3 linked regions of the Mus musculus genome follow. The protein of the gene in region 2 interacts with the protein of the main gene of each other region in a biochemical or structural test. Links are inferred from orthologs where the notes say so. Each region holds a gene or a part of one and is shown on either strand. Other genes may lie near its edges. The genes, in order: Cd2, Cd2bp2 and Prpf6.

The links.
Region 1: the proteins of Cd2bp2 (region 2) and Cd2 interact in a biophysical measurement, tested with the Homo sapiens proteins (6 studies listed by BioGRID and IntAct, with this or other methods). The link is inferred for Mus musculus from reciprocal best matches to the Homo sapiens genes CD2BP2 and CD2.
Region 3: the proteins of Cd2bp2 (region 2) and Prpf6 form a complex in vitro, tested with the Homo sapiens proteins (2 studies listed by BioGRID and IntAct). The link is inferred for Mus musculus from reciprocal best matches to the Homo sapiens genes CD2BP2 and PRPF6.

The regions. Positions count from the first base shown.
Region 1 is NC_000069.6:101,285,011-101,289,210, reverse strand, and holds the start of Cd2 (T-cell surface antigen CD2 precursor), read left to right. Parts: upstream 1-1,271; 5' UTR 1,272-1,331; coding exon 1,332-1,386; intron 1,387-1,495; coding exon 1,496-1,804; intron 1,805-4,200. UniProt on the Homo sapiens protein: CD2 interacts with lymphocyte function-associated antigen CD58 (LFA-3) and CD48/BCM1 to mediate adhesion between T-cells and other cell types. CD2 is implicated in the triggering of T-cells, the cytoplasmic domain is implicated in the signaling function.
Region 2 is NC_000073.6:127,193,139-127,197,394, reverse strand, and holds the start of Cd2bp2 (CD2 antigen cytoplasmic tail-binding protein 2), read left to right. Parts: upstream 1-1,317; 5' UTR 1,318-1,466; exon of another isoform or gene 1,467-1,933; 5' UTR 1,934-1,956; coding exon 1,957-2,034; intron 2,035-2,236; coding exon 2,237-2,372; intron 2,373-2,493; coding exon 2,494-2,651; intron 2,652-2,753; coding exon 2,754-3,192; intron 3,193-3,273; coding exon 3,274-3,380; intron 3,381-3,464; coding exon 3,465-3,575; 3' UTR 3,576-4,256. UniProt on the Homo sapiens protein: Involved in pre-mRNA splicing as component of the U5 snRNP complex that is involved in spliceosome assembly.
Region 3 is NC_000068.7:181,653,310-181,656,298, reverse strand, and holds the end of Prpf6 (pre-mRNA-processing factor 6), read right to left. Parts: intron 1,464-2,989; coding exon 1,337-1,463; intron 878-1,336; coding exon 725-877; 3' UTR 638-724; downstream 1-637. UniProt on the Homo sapiens protein: Involved in pre-mRNA splicing as component of the U4/U6-U5 tri-snRNP complex, one of the building blocks of the spliceosome.

The sequences.
Region 1 (4,200 bases), on a different chromosome or scaffold from region 2:
TCTCACACATTTAATAGCTCTTTGTACATGCATAGATTCTAGATTTTTATGTGGCCTCTAACGTCCATCTTTACTATTTCTGAATTGTGCAATACATATAGGAAGATTTTCCATACTCAAGAATAGGAATTCTTTTATGTTTCCTGTTAAGTCTTATTTCACTTGGATTTTTCCCCCCTTGGAATTAATATTTTAACTCAACTGAAATGCACTGTTGTGGCTGTTGTTAAGCATCTGAAATGGAAAAACCGTGATTTTGAAGACCTTTTCTCACTGAATTCTAAAGAATCAAAAGACTATATGTTCACTGTATCTCTTGCTCACGTGACCTCTCTGTTGTCTTTTTAGGGACATTAGTCCTTGTATCCCTGTTCACTATTTTTTTATAGTCTTAGGACAAGAGAGATATCTTGGTACTTAAGAGCTCAGGCTGCTCTTCCGGAAGACCCAGGTTTTATTCCCAGCACCCACGAGGCAGCTCACAACCATCTGTAACTTAAATTCCAGGAGATCGATGGACTCCTCTGGCCTCTTCAGGCATGGCGTTCATGGGTGTTGCAGTCACTTTTCAATGGCTGTGACAAACCATCATGACCAAGGCAACTTAGAGAAGGAAGAATCTACTGTGCTCTTACAGGTCCATGGCCAGCATGGCCGGGAGTATGGCAGCAGGCATGAAGCATAGCGCTGGAGCAGTAGCTGGGGGGGTTTTACATTCCTATCCACAGCAGGAGACAGACAGATAGACAGAGTGGGGAAGGGGAGAGGGAAGAGAGAGAGAGAGAGAGAGAGAGAGCTAACAGGACCACAAGGGCTTTAAAGATTTCTAAGCCTACCCTCAGTGACGCACCTCCAACAAGGCCACGCCTCCCAATCCTTCCCAAATATACATATCTGAATTCTATTCCTATGACCTTTTGCCGGTGAGTCTACTTGGTCCTGTTGAAGGCAGCACAGCTGAGTGGCCAGCTATGTTTAAGCCCTTGTTTACAAAAGGGTAGCTATGGCAACTGACCTCCCAGTTCCTCTTCTTCCTCTGGTGGGGTGCTAAAACCCAACACCCTAAGCTGTTTTTGTAAAGATTAAAATGTGACACAGACACCTATTTCGGTTAAGGAGGGCAGCAAATGCATGAGTCGTTTTGATAGGGTCTCTGTCTCTCTCTCTCTCCTTCCCCATCTCTACCTCTCCCTCTCCCCCTCCCCCTCCCCTACTGTGAACAGCAGGCATGAAAGACACGTGGTTCAGGTTGCTGGGTGTGGCTTCTGCCAGCCTCACCACAGTCCTGACAGAAAGAACTCAGAGTCACCCCTGGGAAAAGAACTCTAAAGATGAAATGTAAATTCCTGGGTAGCTTCTTTCTGCTCTTCAGCCTTTCCGGCAAAGGTAAGCATTCGCGTGGAGCTCTTCCGGAGACCTTGGAGTGGACATTAGAGGCGAAGAGGGAGATCCTCCGTAGTCCCGAGACCTCAGAAACCATCTTACTTTTTTACAGGGGCGGACTGCAGAGACAATGAGACCATCTGGGGTGTCTTGGGTCATGGCATCACCCTGAACATCCCCAACTTTCAAATGACTGATGATATTGATGAGGTGCGATGGGTAAGGAGGGGCACCCTGGTCGCAGAGTTTAAAAGGAAGAAGCCACCTTTTTTGATATCAGAAACGTATGAGGTCTTAGCAAACGGATCCCTGAAGATAAAGAAGCCGATGATGAGAAACGACAGTGGCACCTATAATGTAATGGTGTATGGCACAAATGGGATGACTAGGCTGGAGAAGGACCTGGACGTGAGGATTCTGGGTAAGTCTCCATTCCCTAAAGGTTTTCATTTTAGGACGGCTGCTATGTAGAAAGTTGGGGAGCAGCCTTTCTGTAGCATCCCCATCCAATGTTACCTGTGTGGCCCACAATGAAGACTCCAGTGGGTGAGGGTGGCTCTAAAGCCTGTCTGCCTTTCATTCTCTCTTTGGGTGGCTGTGGGGTTGTACAAAGACTCCCAGGTGACAGACAGGCATTAATCAGAAAGAAGACAGGTTAGCAGAGAAAAGACATGGACATCCTTGGTGGCCGATGAAGCTGTAGCTAGACAGGATGTCAGAGGGTGCCTAGGAGCAGTGAGCCTCTTGTCTGGAGAGCTATGTTTAAGCCAGGGTATGATGAGAGGGCATGATACTGAAGAGCAACAGGAGAAGACCAACCAGGAGTCCTCTCCTGTCATCCAAGCGAAGCCAAGCAGGTGGTCTTAGTCTTGGTGAGAACCAGCAAGTGAGCTGTAAGAAGTGACTCATGCCCAGGCTCCTGGCAGCATGGAGTATGTGTGCCAGTGGGATCTATAGCGTTCCAAGAGCTTCTAGTGAGAAGAGTTGTCATTGATAGTCATTGGCCTGGAGTAAAGGGTGCCAGGGAGATGAGGAAGGGTGCAAACATGCCGGGTGTGGGGGTGAGGAGGAAGTGAAGAAGCTTGGGTGGGTGAGAAAGAAGAAAACGAAGCCTGGGATGCTGTCGAAGCTGAAAGTCCAGGGACAAACTGGCAGCTCACACCAATGGGTGAGAGGAGAAAGCCTGCCCTTGGCTTGCGGAGAAAGCTGAGAATGCCTTGTGCAGAATAGATCAGCCATTCAGGGAGCACACAAACATTCTGAGCTTCACACAGGAAATGTCACTATAGAAAGGGCTCCCCTCATCCCCCCGTGGGTGTCCTTCCTGTCCAATACTCAGCACCTGGGCCTAACACCAACCTCTCTCCAGGGCCCCCTGTTAGCTCCTCTGTGCACAACTCTTCCCAGACCCAAATCCTGTAACTTTATCTAGAGAGAATGTCCCAGAAACGGGGTGGGAATGAGAACGACCACTCATCGTATCGAACCCTGTATAGCCTATTCATGTACTCTGTCACTGCGGTGACCATGGCTACTGGAGAGAAGTCAGGTGCTTGTTAGGTAGCCTGGTTTTCTTTGGCAATCCTGAGAACTTTAAATTACAAGCTTCTATCCACCTATAAGGAAACGGGCCTGGCCAGAAGTGGCCGTGTTCTCACTGTTAGACAGGAACAAGGTCAGGCCTTCCCTTGACAAGGATGGTGATATCCCAAACAAGCTCATTGGTATACAATTCACATACCACACAGTTTGCCCGTTTGCCGTGCGCAGTTCAACAGCTTTCTGCATAGTCACAGAGTTACGCGGTTACCACCATAGGCAACATTTTCCCTACCCCCCTCAAAGGAAACCCATACCCTCCGACTAACAGCGGTGGCTTCACTACTGTATGCAAATGCCAAGGTCACACAATACGCTGACTCAACTTGAGGACCTGTCCCCACTATATACGACTATATATTACGCAGCATTGGAAAATTGTCCTCTGACCCACCCCAAGCCTGATTACCCAGTGCAGGTTGTGTATCACTTACTTAATGAGTTTGAGATTAGAAGTGTTTAGGATTGGGGCTTTTGGAAGATTTCAAAATGTGTGTGTGTGTGTGTGTGTGTGTGTGTGTGTGTTCTTGGAGATGGGACCTAAATGTAAACACAACATTCATCCATGCATTATATATACACGTCATACACACTATTCAAGACTAATTTTAAATAGTATTATGTAGGAAACAAGGTCTCACAGCATGAGAATTTCCATGTGTGGTACTGAGTTGTGGCTTGACAGATTTCGGAACATATCAGATTTGTCTACTAGGATGTTCATGAGGCCTATACTATCCAATGAGGTGTGTCATGAGTTGTGAGTGTAACGGTGTCCTATGTGTTCCTAGATTTTACTTTCCCTTATTGGGCAGAACAGTTCAGGGTCCCTAGACTCCTGTGGGGGAGAGAAGCCCAAGATTAAGGAGTCATATCTAGCCGGAAAGTACTGGTCCATGCCTTTAATCTTAGCTCTTGAGAGGCAAAGGCATTTGGATCTCTGTGAGTTAGGGTCCAGCCTGGTCTACAGAGCTAGCTCCAGGACAGCCAGGGTTACCCAGAGAAACTCTGTCTTGAAAAACCAAAGGGGGTGGGGGACAAAGGCATATCTAAGATCGACCCTCTCAAGCAGTCCAGGTCACTTTCAGAAAGCCATTTTACAGGGAAAATATCTACAGAAGGATGCTGGTTACTGTGTCTGCATGAGTTAAGTACAAGCGTGCATTTGAAAGCTTTAGCAGCTTAAGTAGGATTGCCACTTAAAACCTTGACAGAGAT
Region 2 (4,256 bases):
CTCCTGGGATCCTCTGCACAGCTTGCAGGACTGGGATCGCCTTTCCAATGGCTTCAGCCCCCTGGAAGCTGAAGGAGGGGCCTGAGAGTGTGTGCAAAACCACCATCTTTAGATTGGGCTGGGTTCTTGGTCAGCAGCTTGGTGCAGTTCCCTGGGCGTCTAGGGTAGACTAACTGCCTGGGGTTCATCCCAGCAGGTACACACAACCAAACTGCGCAGCTCTTGTTTTCTGTGGCTAGATCTTTGCCACACACCCTCTACTCCGGGTCAGGATGATAAAGGTGTGGGCTTCTGTGGCCGTAAAGCTCCACTTGGCACTTCTCAGCAGAAAGGGGATCAGGGTGTGTGGTCTCCAGGTAGAGAAAACCCCCTCCGGATGAACCAGCAGTGCTGAGAGCTGCTTTCTTCAGGGTCCTGTCTGTAGCAAGATGCCCTCCTGGTCTAGAACTTGTGTTCTGTACCCACAGAAGTGAAGTTTCATGATTCACAATGGGAGAAAACCCTGGAGGAGAAAGGCGTGGTCCATCTGGCTGCCCTCTTCCAACTCTAGTAGGATCACCGGAGCTATTTAGCCGAGGGTGGGGACGGGGGTGGAGGCGTTGAGGTTTGAGTTGTTCCCCAGAGCTCCAGATCTAAACCTCACTATTGGGGAAGATCTCACCTGGCCCCAGCTTTGCAGGAGCTGGATCCCAGCCCTTTGGCAGTTTGCTAAGGGATGAGGTAGGCTTCGTGTAACTGATGGGCTTCTGCCTGGTTACAGGCCACGGACGGAAGCCAGTGGCACCTCCTGTGATGGTTGTCCCGCTACAGAAACTAGGAATTAAGTGGGAGAATAGACATGGTGCAAATGACTCCTGGGTTCTAAAAGGGCTTGGTTTGGAAGGTGCCCGAGCGCTTATAATCAGAAGCAGGACTCAGAGAGAAGAGCAAGACTTTCTTTAAAAATAGACGGTCTCATGTTGTATCCCAGACTGTCGTCAATCTCGCGACAATCAATCCTGTTTCAATTTCCCGAGTGTTGGGACTGCGTTAAGATCGGAAGCCCGGGTGTCTACTGAAGGCCACTAGGCGTACAGAACCCTATCCATACATGCAAACGGAAGCCCGAAGCCTCTGTTCGGCCTGTGCCTCTCCATCCAGGCCTTGGGAACCTCTTAGCACACCACGTCCTTATCCTCACTGTAGCCTCCATCGTAGAGGAATAATAAAACATTTCCCGCCATCCTCAAGTCCCGTGAGGCAAGGACGTAGTTCACGCGAGTCTTTGCAGGTCTTGCGTCACTTCCTGCCGCGAGTCGGCCTTGGCTAATGGTATGCATCCGCCCTTTTTGAATAGAAGTGAAGCCACTTCCGGGTCCTATGCCGGTCTCCACGGTTTTTTTCCGGGTGATGAAGGCGGGTGCCCCGGATGTAATACCGGCGAAAGCATCTTTCCTTTTCTTCCCCGCCTGACCCTGGGTTCCTAGGTGAGCACCGGCGGGTAAGATTGTTTGAATCCCCGCGGGTTTGCTTCGCCTTTAGTTTGTACGCCAAGGACATGGCCGAGCAGGTCGCTACGTGGTATTCGGGGATCTAGGCAGCTCCAGCTCTTGGGTCCGACCGGCCTCTGTGAGCACTCGGGTGGGAGAGGTGGTTGAGTTCGGTAGCTCCGGACTGGTAGGGGAGTGGTGACGTAGGGGAACCTGACTCCCCATCCCCGGGTGGGAATACCCGCAGGGTCCACGCGGGGGCGGAGATCCTTCCCATCGCCTCTCCTCCGGGCCTCAGAATTGCCCAACCAACCCCGGACGTCGTGCCTGCTAGTTCTCTCAGATGCTTTAGCGATCTGTCCTCGCTCACATTTACCAGGAAAAATGTTGGTGGCCCCTGCACTCCCCCGCGGTCCTCTCTCCTTACCTCACTTCCTCACTACATATCTTTTTCCGAGGTCCAGCTGGAGGAAATCCACAGCCAATCATGCCAAAGAGGAAAGTGACTTTTCAGGGTGTTGGAGATGAGGATGGTGAAGATGAAATCAGTGTGCCCAAAAAGAAGGTGAGATGGCCAGATTTCGAATTTCCGTGGAGGACTGAGAGGAAAGAAGAAGGAGAAATCTGATGGGAGGAAAGCCGGGAAGCCAAGGAAGTGTTAGTTTTCCCCGGCGCACTGGGTTTGGAAAGATTTGTGTACAGATCCTGGAGTATCTGGGGAACTACCCAGTTGGCTGCATTTCTCATTTGCTTCGGCCTCCTCACAGCTGGTGGACCCTGTGGCTGCAGCAGGTGGTCCTGGGAGCCGCTTCAAAGGCAAGCACTCTTTAGACAGTGATGAAGAGGATGATGATGAGGAAGGGTCCAGCAAATATGATATCCTGGCCTCAGAGGATGTAGAAGGTGAGCTATGTCCGAAGCGTTAACTGAGTTGGGGGGACAAGCCTTCAGGATGGAGGTGGGAGGTGTGCCTGCTTCCCTTTTGCGTGTCTAGCATGCCCCACCCCCAATGTCTTCGGTGCAGGTCAGGAAGCAGCTACTCTCCCTAGTGAGGGCGGTGTGAGGATCACACCCTTCAACCTGCAGGAAGAGATGGAGGAAGGCCACTTTGATGCTGATGGCAACTACTTCCTGAACCAGGATGCGCAGATCCGAGACAGCTGGCTGGACAACATTGACTGGGTGTGGCCCAGGGACTATTCTGGCTGAGGCCTGGGAGTGCAGGTGCAGGGCCTGGGCCCTGGTGGAAGTTTGTAAGAAATTCTAATTATCTTTTCCTTGTAGGTGAGGATCAAGGAACGGCCCCCTGATAAGCACCAGGTTTCAGACTCGGAGGAGGAAGACAGCCTGGGTCAGACTCCAATGAGCGCCCAAGCACTCCTGGAGGGACTTTTGGAGTTGTTGTTGCCAAGAGAGACAGTGGCTGGGGCCCTTAGGCGGCTGGGGGCCCGAGGAGGAGGCAAAGGGAGCAACAGCAAGGGGACTGGACGGCCCAATTCCCCCCAGCGGCTAGACCGGCTGTCTGGGTTAGCTGACCAAATGGTGGCACGAGGCAACCTTGGTGTGTACCAGGAAACAAGGGAACGGTTGGCTATGCGACTGAAGGGTTTGGGGTGTCGGGCCCAGGGATCCCATGACCCCACACCTCCACCCTCCCTGGACATGTTTGCTGAGGAAGTAGCAGAGGGTGAACTGGAAACCCCAACCCCTACCCAAAGAGAGGGTAAGTTTGGAGGGCACGGGTGGGGGGCAGTGTGGGCTGGAGACTGAGTGCTTGAGGCCCAAGTATCGTTCATTGTGTTAGAGGCAGAGTCAGCAGGAGATGGCCTGATGGATGTGATGTGGGAGTATAAATGGGAGAACACGGGGGACGCCGAGCTGTATGGACCCTTCACCAGTGCCCAGATGCAGGTGAGCTGCCCCCTGCCGCGTCTGTCCCATCTGTCCAGCCCACCTTCTGTCAGCTTGCCTGAGTTCTGTCCTCTGTTCTTACAGACGTGGGTGAGTGAAGGTTACTTCCCGGATGGTGTTTATTGTCGGAAGCTGGACCCTCCGGGCGGCCAGTTCTACAACTCCAAGCGCATTGATTTTGAGCTGTACACGTGAGCCCGCTAAGGGCCCCATGCGGCACGGCAGCCCCTTCTTTCTTGAACTTGGCAGAGGAAGCCCCAGCTGCTCTGGGCAGTGAGGATATTGGAGGCCACTTTAAAGCCATTGTTTCCCAATAAAAGCCTTGACTGTGCGATGGCCAAGAGCCAGGGCTTCTCCATAGCTCCTTTTGGCTTCACCTGGTAGGTCCCTGAGCGTTTCTTCCCGAGAGACTTCCTCACTTGCTTCTCTCTGGTGTCTTGGACCACCTCAGTTTTTTTTCCCACCCTTGGAGGCAGAGGTAGGGCCCATCAGATGTCCTGTGACTTTCCTACGTAGACAACTTCTACTTGCTGTGTAAAATTCCCTCCATCACTCTTTTCTCCAGTCTCCCTTGCAAGTCCCTGTTCTGCTGATCTTTGACTTTTAGGACCTCAAATGCTCTGTCCTGGCAGCTCCCTTGTAGCTGGGACATTGGGAAGACCTTGAAATCCTATTGAGAGATTCTCTTAAACATGCATTCTCTTCTTCCATAGTCTGATTTTTCTACCCCTCGCCCCCCTGCAGTAGCTTCTGTAGCTTTTAGGTGAAGTATAAACTTGGTAGCACTTCAAGGTTGCTTGAGCCACCATGTGACACAGAGGGGGGCAAAGTGCAGTGGCTTATTGGAGATGCCACAGTAATAGAGAGCTGGCCATG
Region 3 (2,989 bases), on a different chromosome or scaffold from region 2:
GTATCCTCTTCTGTAACTGATCCACTGCATTCATTCAGTCAAAAGAAGAAACCACTACAGCTTGATGCTGTAGTCAAGTTCTTTGCCCTTCATCTGTGAAGGAACTCCTGGGTATGGTCCCTCATCAAAGGAAACCCCATGGATATCTCCATAGAAATGCCCATGCAGCTCTCTTAAGATACTCCTCGGGACAGAAGCAAGAAGTACTTCCCCAAATCAGCACACAAGTAGCCTGCTAAGCATCAATCAATCAATCAATCAGCAGGTTCTGCTCCTGTCCTTGACTGCAGAAGAGTGAGCTCACACCTTCCAAGTTAAGCAAAGGTGCCTGCCTCAGGTGGCTACGGAACAATGGAGACTTCTACAAGCCTTTCAATCTTTTATAGCTTGGTCCCCATGTGACTTTCAGTCTCTTGTATCACAGATCTGTGACAGAGCCTGTATTTTCCATATAGCCTGTACTCTTAACATCTCCACAAAAATCTCAGCAAGCCCTCAATACCCAGCTATGCTTTTATCTGGAGCACATAAGCACTTGTAGGAGGCTCCATCCAAACCAGACTAGACTTGACCATCATTCATGGGGAATAGACGCTAAGGACAAAACAGAAAAACAAGTGAGGCCCAAGCCCCAACATAACTCTATAAAAACCTTTAATGAGTAAAAGACAGTGTAGGGTTTGTGCCCATTGTCCATGTGTTGCTCCTATTGTCACCCCTCCTATCAGAAGGTATTTTTGATGCGGGCGGCCACCAGGACTAGGATTTCCCCAATCTTCCTCTGCCAGTTGGTGATATCCTTGGACACAGCACACCACAGCTCTCCATGTCGGGGCTCTGCATTCTCACAGCGTTTCCTCACCTCCTCCTGTTGCTCCTGGGGAGACGAAAGGGTGCTTTAGGTGGGTTCCTTGTGAGGTTTACGTCTTGTGAGGTACAGGTCTTGCCTGTCTCCTTGTAGATCTGGCCCCAGCAGATTTTAAGCCATCTCCTTCTCTTGTGGAACATGCCCTCATAGTCAGTGCATCTCTGTGTTGAATCGTGTCAGACTCCCTATTTTTTGATTCCCGCAAGTTGCCAGATGCACTCTCTGAACTAGGTACTTCCTGGATTCAATGTGGTCTAGCCACTACTTCTAACGAGGACCCCAGGACACCCTGGTCCCCCTGCCTTATAAGCATGGTTCCAACAAAGCTCAACAGGGGAGGAGCTCCTAGTCTTGGCCACTTCCTGCCTCTCCTTCCCCAGGGATTAGATGGAGCTTTCTACTGTCTCAGGAATAGCTAGGGAAGCAGGCAGATTACCACTGCACACCAGTGTGCTAGTGTAGCCTCACCTCAGTTCCATGCTGCAGTTCAAATTTGTAGAAGAAGGCCCAGGCATCCCCCAGATCTGAGTCAATCTTCACAGTGCGATGGAACCACTCCCGAGCCTTGGTGATCTTTCTTTCACTCCAGAACAACCTGTTGTGGGAGAGCAAGGGACATAGAATAGTGTCTACCATGCTTGGGAGTCATTCTACGTAGGTGATCAGCTGTACCCTGCTCCTGGTAAGACCAACAATCCTAGAAATATGTTATAGAAAAGGTCTGAGTCATGGTTCAGGGCTCCCTGGAGGTCATTCCAGATCCTTCACTGATCCACAGTGTTTTTTAGAATATTTATACACAGTGAGATCTTAATTTCTCCTTTTTATTTTTTTTTTATTTTTTTCAAGATAGGGTTTCTCTATGTAACCATCTTGGCTGTCCTGGGATTCATACTGTAGACCAGGCTGGTCTGGAAGTCACAGAGATCTGCCTGTCTCTGCTTCCTGAGTGCTGGGGTTAAAGGCATGCACTATCACCTCCACCAGGCTAGATCTTAACTTCTTAAAACTATCTGGGCCAAATGAAATTTGAAACTAACCTTGACAAACATTAATTAAGGCAGATTTAAAAAACAAAACCTGAAAACTCAGACTGCTCCTTAATAAGATACCAACCCTACACTATTAACCTCCCTTGAAGCAGATTTAAAACACAAAAAAAACAAGACCTGAAAACTCAGACTGCTCCTTAATAAGATACCAACCCTACACTATTAACCTCCCTTGTCTACCCCTCGTAGCAACCTAAGCAAACACAAAGATCAGCTTCCACATGTCAGTTCTGGGGACCTGGGACACCCAGACCATAGCACATGATTGTTGTACCTGACACAGACACTTGAATAGAAATCCGAAGGGAAGTCTGGCAGGAAGCCAAGAACTGGACTGTTAGAGACTAACTTAGAAGTGAGGCATGGTGCAGGTCTTTAATCCCAGCACCCAGGAAGCAAAGGCAGGTGGATCTCTGAGTTCAAGGCCTGTCGGTCTACATAGAGAAACCCTGTCCCAGAAAAATAAAACAACAACATAAAAGAAACCAACTTAGGGTCGCATGGCACCCCCCACCCCCACATAGTTACTGTAGTATAGCAGGGTGTACAACAGGGAGGGTGGCATGGAATGCTGTGGGGATCACTCTGGCAGGGCCAGGACTTGGGACTGTATTCACCTGGTCTTGGTGAGGCAGCTGGTGCACAGCTAACCTTTCCACTGCAGGCAGCTGTGTGGGCTGCTTTCAGGACCAAGTGGAGTAATTTCATGCTGATAACTTGATTGTTTTTTAAGCCATATAGTACTCTTAATTGCCCAGTGTTAGATAAACTGTAATTTAAAGAACATAAACTCAAGATAGGAGGCACATGGAACACTGGCTTGGGAACAGCAAGGAGTGACTTATTTACTTTAATAAAGCTCTTTGTAAGGTTTATGGCTGCTCTGGCTGAGGGCATACAGAAGTTACTCTGGGAAAGGGAAGCCTAAGCTAGCAAGGCTGGGACCTAAAACCTTGGCCATCTGCTAGGGCTACAGACACTACAGAGGTGCCAGGTAGCAATGTGAAGGTAGTTGCACCAGAATCTGAACACTCAATGCCACTTAAAACCAAATTGGTCTAAGGCTCTG